Macaca fascicularis: one gene and its partner. The protein of the gene in region 2 purifies or fractionates together with the protein of the main gene of each other region. This does not show direct contact. Links are inferred from orthologs where the notes say so. Each region holds a gene or a part of one and is shown on either strand. Other genes may lie near its edges.

Region 1 (4,596 bases), on a different chromosome or scaffold from region 2:
CCAAGCATAACAAAATTGTTCATCCTAGCAACCCAGAAAAGACAGAATGGAACAGACCACTCAGAAACTATCAAACAGGCCAAGGTGGGCAGATCACCTGAGGTCAGGAGTTCGAGACCAGCCTGGCCAACATGGCAAAACCCTGTATCTACTAAAAATACAAAAATCAGCTAGGCGTGGTGGCACATGCCTGTAATCCCAGCTACTTGGGAGGCTGAGGCAGGAGAATAGCTTAAACCCAGGAAGCAGAGGTTACAGTGAGTGGAGATCATGCCACTGCACTCCAGTTTGGGTAACAGAGTGAGACTCTGTCTCAAAAAAAAAGGCGGGGGGAGAAACTATCAAAAACCTACAGAAAGGCAGTAGTTGAGTTTGTTAAGAACTAATGAAAAAGCACCAAACACCTACATCTTTGTCCCTCTAGCCCACACAGGCCATTCTTGGACTGTATGAAGGCTAGCTGGCAGAACTCAAGAGAACAGTTGCTATGTATGACTCAGATAGTCTGCCTACATATACCACCTTTATTTCTTTTTCCTCTATTTCTTTTTTTCTTTATCTGTCCTCTTTATGCCTTTGGTCAGCTGTGATACCCAATGGTGTCCACTGGCACTGCTTAGTCCTATGGGCAGGTACAAGGTTAAAACCTCCCTAATAGGATGAAAAAGTTTGGAGCCAGGAAGTTGCCCTTATTGTTATAAGATTGATGTTGGCTCATGGAGATAATTAACATTTGTTGATGGCCTAACATGTGCCTAATATGGTTTTTTTTTTTTTGGGGGGGGGGGGACAGAGTCTCCCTCTGTCCTCCAGGCTGGAGTGCAGTGGCGCGATCTCGGCTCACTGCACAATCTCGGCATAATTAACATTTGATGACGACCTAACATGTGCCTAATACGCCTGTTTTTTTTGCTTTTTGTTTTTTGTTTTTTTGAGACAGTCTCCCTCTGTCGCCCAGGCTGGAGTGCAGTGGCGTGATCTTGGCCCACTGCAACCTCCGCCTCCTGGGTTCAAGAGATTCTCCTGCCTCAGCCTCCTGAGTAGCTGGGATTACAGGCGCCCAACATCAGGCCCGGCTAATTTTTGTATTTTTAGTAGAGACGGGGTTTCGCCATGTTGGCCAGGCTGGTCTCGAACTCCTGATTGCAAGTGATCCTCCCGCCTCGGCCTCCCAAAGTGCTGGGATTACAGGCATGAGCCACCGCCCCTGGCACAGCATATTAAAATCTAGTCTTCAAACACTGAACTGCAGGCGTCGCTGCACCAAACACTTCCCTCTGCTCCCCAACCCCAGCCTACAGAAACCAGCTCCCCTCCTCCTACCCCGCAGTCATCCACAGGCCTTGGCCCAGCGGGAAACGTCCCTTGACTGAACCGCCACTGAACACCCACACTCCACAATCGAGGGGCAGCCCTCCCGAGAGGAAGCCCCAACGACCTCCAACCACAAGGCGTCTAAGTGTAACTGTCCCGGGCGAGGCGCGGCGGTTCGGTTCCCATGGTAACCCCGCAGCTCCTGCGTCGCGCTTCCGGGCGGACGAGCAGCGCGCCTCAGTGACGTCACGGCGCCACTTTCCGGCCGGTGGCAGAGTCCGGCGAAGTTGTGGTGGCCTGGGGCGCCATGGGAGCCACTGGCGACGCCGAGCAGCCGCGGGGACCCAGCGGGGCCGAGCGGGGCGGCTTGGAGCTGGGGGATGCGGGCGCAGCGGGGCAGCTGGTTCTCACGGTGAGGGCGCCCCCGGTGAGGTCTGGGCTCGGGCCGGGCAGGGCCTCGGGGCTCCCGGGACCCTGGCCCGCGGGCGAGAACGCGGCGGCTGCAGCTGCAGAGGGGGTTGGCGTTTTCGCAGCCCGACGACCTGGATTCAAATTCTGGTGCCGCCCTCCTAGCTAGGTGACGTGGGCCAGCTCTGTCGACCCCCTGAGTCCCCAGATCATCTTCTATAAAATGGAGATGATTAGTACCTGTCTCATAAAAGTTGTTGTGGGATGGGAAGATAAAGGCGGGTACAGCGCCCAGGACATCACCTGACACAGAGTTGACCCTCGGTAAACACTGCTTCCCTTCCTCCTGCCGTGCCAGAAGGCAGGGTCGGGACTTTTAAGGCAGGAAACTTCCTCAGTTCCTCTTTTGTGGAGGGGGCCTTCCAACTGTTGTCCTCCCCCGATACCCCAAGGCGGGAGAGATGGTGACGGATCTGAGAAGCAGGAATGTTTAGGTTTAACTTCATACCCACCCTCCACCTCCACCCCACGCCAGTGTCACAGGCCGCAGTGACATTTGTTCCGTTGGTCCCCACAGAACCCTTGGAACATAATGATAAAGCACCGGCAGGTGCAGCGGAGGGGCCGCCGCTCACAGATGACAACAAGGTAAGGCTGGCCCTGCATGGGACTTGTATCCCAGCCACTGGCTTGCATGGCAGCTTTGGGATCCCCAGTGCACAAGACTATGGAGATCTACAGCCTGTAGAAAGAGCACAGGACTGAGAAAGAGGAGACTCCGATCCTGTAACTCTGTGTGATCTTGAGCTAGTCAAGTCACTTCCTTCTCTGAACTCACGAAATGGGGAAGGGCACAGGAGATGGGTTGGGGAATAAAAAATACCTAAGACCCCTCACATTCACTGGCTCTGTGATTGAGGGCTCTTAAGAGGTCAGTTAGCATGGAGTTTAAGAGCACGGGCTCTGGAGTCAGACAACTGTGTTCTCATGCAGCCTCTGATGAGCCCCTGTTTTCTCAACTATAAAGACGGATTAATAGTATCCATCTCAGGGAAGGGAGAGAGCACAAGGTGGGCCTTTGGGATGCTGGTAGTGGTGAATTGGATGTTCACTGTAATTACTCATTAAAGTGTATAGACTTTTCTGTATAATAAGTATTATATTTCATAAAAACACTTTGGGCCGGGCGCAGTGGCTCACGCCTGTAATCCCAGCACTTTGGGAGTCTGAGGTGGGCGGATCACCTGAGGTCAGGACTTTGAGAACAGCCTGACCAACATGGAGAAACCCTGTCTCTACTAAAAATACAAAAAGATGGCCGGGTGCAGTGGCTCACGCCTGTAATCCCAGCACTTTGGGGATCTGAGGCGGGCAGATCACCTGAGGTTGGGAGTTTGAGACCAGCCTGACCAAGGAGAAACCCGGTCTCTACTAAAAATACAAAAATTAGCTGGGTGTGGTGGTGCACACCTGTAATCCCAGCTACTCGGGAGGCTGAGGCAGGAAAATTGCTTGAACGCAGGAGGCGGAGGTTGCAGTGAGCCAAAACCACACCACTGCATTCCAGCCTGGGCAACAGAGTGAGACTCCGTCCAAAAAAAAAAAACTTTGAAAATAATACCCACTTCATAGAGTTATGAGAATGAAATAAAGTCATGCCTTTGTGATTTGAACAAAATCTGAGCATGTAGCTAGTTTTCAGTAAAAGTTGTCTAGTATTGTTAAAGAATTCTATGTCCATAATTGACTGGGCAAGGTGAGAAAGAATATGTTTCGGACATGCCCCCTCACCCTGTCTCCCTCCTGAATGCAGTTTCACAGATCCTGCCATCTCTATGGATCTCCTCCGAGCTGTCCTGCAGCCTAGCATCAATGAGGAGATCCAGACTGTCTTCAACAAGTACATGAAGGTGAGAGGGACACAGGATAAAAAATAACGGGAAAGACTCATGAGGAGCCCAGTCCTTCCTTGCATCACCAGTCCGTCTCTTTCCTACACACAGATATCTAAAGTTTTCCTTTTGTTTTTTTGTTTTTTTGTTTGTTTTGTTTTGTGTTTTTGAGACAGAGTCTCACTCTGTCACCCAGGCTGGAGTGCAGTGGCATGATATCGATTCAGTGCAACCTCCACTTCCCAGGTTCCAGCGATTCTCATGCCTCAGCCTCCCTAGTAGCCAGGATTACAAGCGCCCACCACCACACACAGCGAATTTTTGTATTTTTAGTAGAGACAGGGTTTCACTGTTGACCAGGCTGGTCTCAAACTCCTGACCTCAAGTGATCTGCCCGCCCACCTTGGCCTCCCAAAGTGCTGAGATTATAGGTGTGAGCCAGCGCGCCCGGCCAGCTTTCAAATTTTTAATCCCCCAAGAATTTTATCCCTTCCTTGAGGGTAATTCAGATATCTTTTTTTTTTTTTAAATCTGCCCTTGTCACTCACTGTCACGTTTTTGTTTTTGTTTTTTTTGCTGACTTCTTGTAAGGATGAAATGACTTAAATGTACTGTGCTGAGCACTGCACTTAGGACATAACAAGTGTCCAGTAAGTACTTCTATTAGTTGTTTAATAATATCACCATTATTGGGGCCATGCACAATGGCTCACACCTGCAACCCCAGCACTTTGGGAGGCCGAGGCAGAATCACTTGAGGCCAGGAGTTTGAGACCAGCCTGGGCAACATAGTGGGACCTCATCTCTACTACAAAAAAAAAAAAAAAATTTATTAGCCAGGCATGGTAGTGCGTGCCTGTAGTCCCAGCTACTCAGAAGGCTCAGGCGAGAGGATCACTTGAGCCCAGGAGTTTGGGTTTGTAGTGAGCTATGATCATACCACTACACTCCAACCTGAGTGACAGTGAGGGCCTTTCTCGAA
Region 2 (3,813 bases):
TGGTTCTGAACTGGGCATGATTTATTCCCCAAGAACATTTGGCAAGCAATGTCTGACCAAAGATGTTGCTAAACATCCTGTACAACAGAACCCCCCACCCATCACACCAAATAATTATCCAACCCAAAATGATAGTAGTGCTGATGTTAAGAAACCCAGCTTTATGGCAGTATCTTAAAATTCTGCCCAGATCCTTCCTGTTTTTATCATTCTGTATTAAAATTTGGGGGTCTTAAATATTGATTCAACAATGGGCTACTGATTAAGACTATATATAACGTAGAATATGTCAGAAAACCTAATCATTGTCTTTCAAACTGGGTTCCTTAGGGTACTAGGGCTTCCTGGGGGTAGATAGAGCTGAGCAAACAGGCCCAATTCTGGGGCGCTGTCTCCATTCTAGCCAGAGCACCTCTGCTTTTAACTTGAGCCTCAGTTTTTTGAGTAAGACCTGATTTCTTAAAAAAAAAAAAAAAAAAAAGGAGGGAGGAAAAGAGGAAGGAAGGAAGAAAAATGGGAGGGAGAGAAGGAGGTAATTATCGGCTTTAAAAAAATTTGAAAGCTGGTCCAGCCCCCTCATTTTTCAGATGGAAAAAAATAAAGTATAAAGAAGGGAAATCGCCCAGCAGCTTTAGTTACAGTAGAGCTGGGTCCAAACCCCTGACGTCTTGACTTCTAGACAGTAGCTTTGTTGTTCATCCTGTGCCACATCGCTTCTTCTCTTCTGATTGTAGCAGTGATGAGGTTTTGATTGGCACAGCATTTGTGGTTGTGGTATTTGATCTTTACCTTTTGTAGCATATGCCCAAAGTGTGCTTATATAAAACCCTTGTGCCCTGTCATTAAGACAGTTTCAAGTATTCCATGTTTACCACTGAGTAACTAATAACCCTAATTTCCTTTTCAGGACTGTAGATGTCATGTCACTCCCTTTCTTCCCCAGGTGTTCAGCTCCCGACAGGCACTGAATGGCCATGCCCGCATCCACGGGGGCACCAACCAGGTGACCAAGGCCCGAGGTGCCGTCCCCTCTGGGAAGCAGAAGCCTGGTGGCACCCAGAGTGGGTACTGTTCGGTGAAGAGCTCACCCTCTCACAGCACCACCAGCGGCGAGACAGACCCCACCACCATCTTCCCCTGCAAGGAGTGTGGCAAGTAGGTGCAGGGGACCAGGGACTGGATCTGAGTTCATGAGGATAGTTGCTGTATGGGGACTGGGCCAGGATGGCCTAAGGTTTCTTCAATCAGAAAAAAGAACTTAGAATTCAAAATTCTTCTTCATACCATCTTTGGGATGGGTATGTAGGCCTTGTCGCAGACTCAGAATATGGCCATTCTGTTACCTTAGAGCCTTGTAAGGATGGATATCTTCAGAGAGTGAACCTCTAAGTTACAAAACTTCCCTCTTTCCCAGGAATGGCAGGCGGGACTCTGGTTCCCACTCCTTCCCTTCACACCCAATCTATGTTCACTAGCATTACTCTGTTTGCATCCCCACTGAATGATTTGAGAATGGCTCTAGAACACCTAATCAGGAACTCTCTATAACACAGATGGCTCATACAGGGTATTCCTACCACCTTCGCTTACTTCTGTGCCTAGGGCAGACATCACTAATCAATCACCACACTCTTTGCTATCACTTTAAGACAAAGCCTCAAATACTTTTCATTGTCGTGCTTCAAGCTGCACAATCAATTAATCAGAGTTGACACATGAAATAAAACATATTTGTTATCCTCCCCTTTTAGGTATAATTAAAAAAACAACAACACCAACAACTAAAGTAACATGAGATAGTAATTATAATAGCTAACATTTACTGAGCACTTATTTTGGTACATGCTTTATGTGTATGAGCTCATTTAATCCTCACATAGAAACTCCATGTGATACAGATACTGTTTTTTTATACTTGTTTTACAAATAAGAGTTTAAAAATTAGGTAAAATGACTTGCCCTAAGTCACACTGCCAGTAAAGAGCAGAACTGAGATTTGAACCCAGTTTTGTCCGAATGCAGACCTGGGCTCCTGACCACTGCTCTGTCCTTTTGGTTTACTTTGTTTTTTGCTTTAGGTAGAAAATGCCATTGGTAGTAAGATGGGTGATTCCCTCCCACAGCCTCCAGTAGAGAATTCCAGTGTACTTCTCAATAAGTCCACCTGACTGGAAGGGTACTACATTGTTACGAATTACATCCTTTAGGAGCCTTGCTGAGTTCCTCTTCCCATAATTCCTAGTGCCTCAAGCATGAAGAGGAGTGTTACCTGGGAGAGATGCTGCCCAGGTGGTTTCTGAAACTCTACCAGGAAAACATCCACAGTTACATAAGCAAGGCCAGGTGGGACCTCATAGAGTAGAGCAGGCAACTTAATAGTAACTGCTGTTTATCAGGTACTCACTATGTGCCTGGCACTGTTTTAAAGGATTTTTTACATGTTTTAGTCTGTTTTGTGTTGCTACAACAGAATATCACTGACTGGATAATTTATAAAGAAAAGAAATTTATTTCTTATAGTTCTGGAGGCTGGGAAGTTGAAGGTCAAGGGGCCTGCATCCAGCAAGGGCCTTCTTGCTAAGTCATCCCATTGTGGAAGGGCAAAGAGAGGGGAGAGAGAGCAAAAGGTTGAACTTGCAGCCTCATACCCTATAATAATCGGCATGAATCCACTCATGAGGGTGAGGCCCTCATCACTGAAACGCCTCCCATTAGGCCACACCTTCCAACACAGCTGCATTAGGGATTCAGTTTTCAACGTGTGCTGTTTGGGGGACACATTCAACCCATAGCACATGTACTGATTAATCTTTAGCCCTGTGAGGCGGGTACTTTTAGGAGCTTCTTTTTTTACAGGCAGAAACTGAGGCACAGAAAGGTGAAGCCCCTGTTGCAGTTCACAGCGAGCAGCCTAGTGGGGATTCAAATCAGGCGGGCAGGCCTGGCCTTGTGCTCCTGGCTCTATGCCATGCTGCCTCTGATTAAGCCCAGCTTGGCAGCACCCACCAAAGTGAACTGGAACTAGCAGATCCCTTCCTCCTGTGAAGCACAGGGATGGGAGAGGTGGGATTCAGTGTGGGTCTCCTCCACACCCTGCCGTCCTTCCAAGCTGGCCATGATGTCATTTTCACATCACCACCCACCACATACTGGTGCACCATGGGAGAAATGGGCCCCTGGATTGATCTTAAGGCTTTTTTAATAGAAATAATGATGGAACCACCCTCAGCTGACTCTCAGTGATCTCTTACTTATTTGTCCTGGAGTGGCAGCATCAGGGTATCAGGGTCTTACCAGTTTTCCCGAGAGGAGCCAGCACCTCCCACTCATTAGGCTCAAACAGGCTACAACGCTACATTCCACCAGGTGGAGACAGAGGATGATTTAACTAACAAAAGTCAGCATTTCGTGTTTCCCGGCCATGTCTCAGTGGCATCTATTAAATGGTTTTTTGGAGTCTTAGGTTGCTGGGGAACTTTTTTCCACCAGAAATCCAGTTATGACTTTCTGGAAAATACAAATGGTTTATGTGGCTTTTCCTAACTCAGAATAACATTAGGCAAATGTTCACAAAATACCTCTTAGAGCTGCTGAAATTATGTTTGTTACATGGAACCATTTTCAGTGTGTCCAGGTAGAATTGTGATTTATCAGCCCTGTTGGACTCAGGCCTTAGAAACCAGGTGTTTTGTGATTTTTTTTTTTTTTCCTTCATGAGCTCAGGAGTGACTAAAGAGTATTATGCCACGCCCTGTCCATAAACAGTCTCACTCCTGGACACACTTCTTCTGAAAAAGGTCCAGATAGTTAATA

What was found.
Region 1: the proteins of TRERF1 (region 2) and DNTTIP1 purify together in Homo sapiens (affinity purification with mass spectrometry; 3 studies listed by BioGRID and IntAct, with this or other methods). This does not show direct contact. The link is inferred for Macaca fascicularis from reciprocal best matches to the Homo sapiens genes TRERF1 and DNTTIP1.

Annotation. Positions count from the first base shown.
Region 1 is NC_088384.1:101,821,844-101,826,439, forward strand, and holds the start of DNTTIP1 (deoxynucleotidyltransferase terminal-interacting protein 1), read left to right. Parts: upstream 1-1,553; 5' UTR 1,554-1,621; coding exon 1,622-1,726; intron 1,727-2,299; coding exon 2,300-2,370; intron 2,371-3,535; coding exon 3,536-3,632; intron 3,633-4,596. UniProt on the Homo sapiens protein: Increases DNTT terminal deoxynucleotidyltransferase activity (in vitro). Also acts as a transcriptional regulator, binding to the consensus sequence 5'-GNTGCATG-3' following an AT-tract.
Region 2 is NC_088378.1:129,309,066-129,312,878, forward strand, and holds part of TRERF1 (transcriptional-regulating factor 1), read left to right. Parts: intron 1-907; coding exon 908-1,155; intron 1,156-3,813.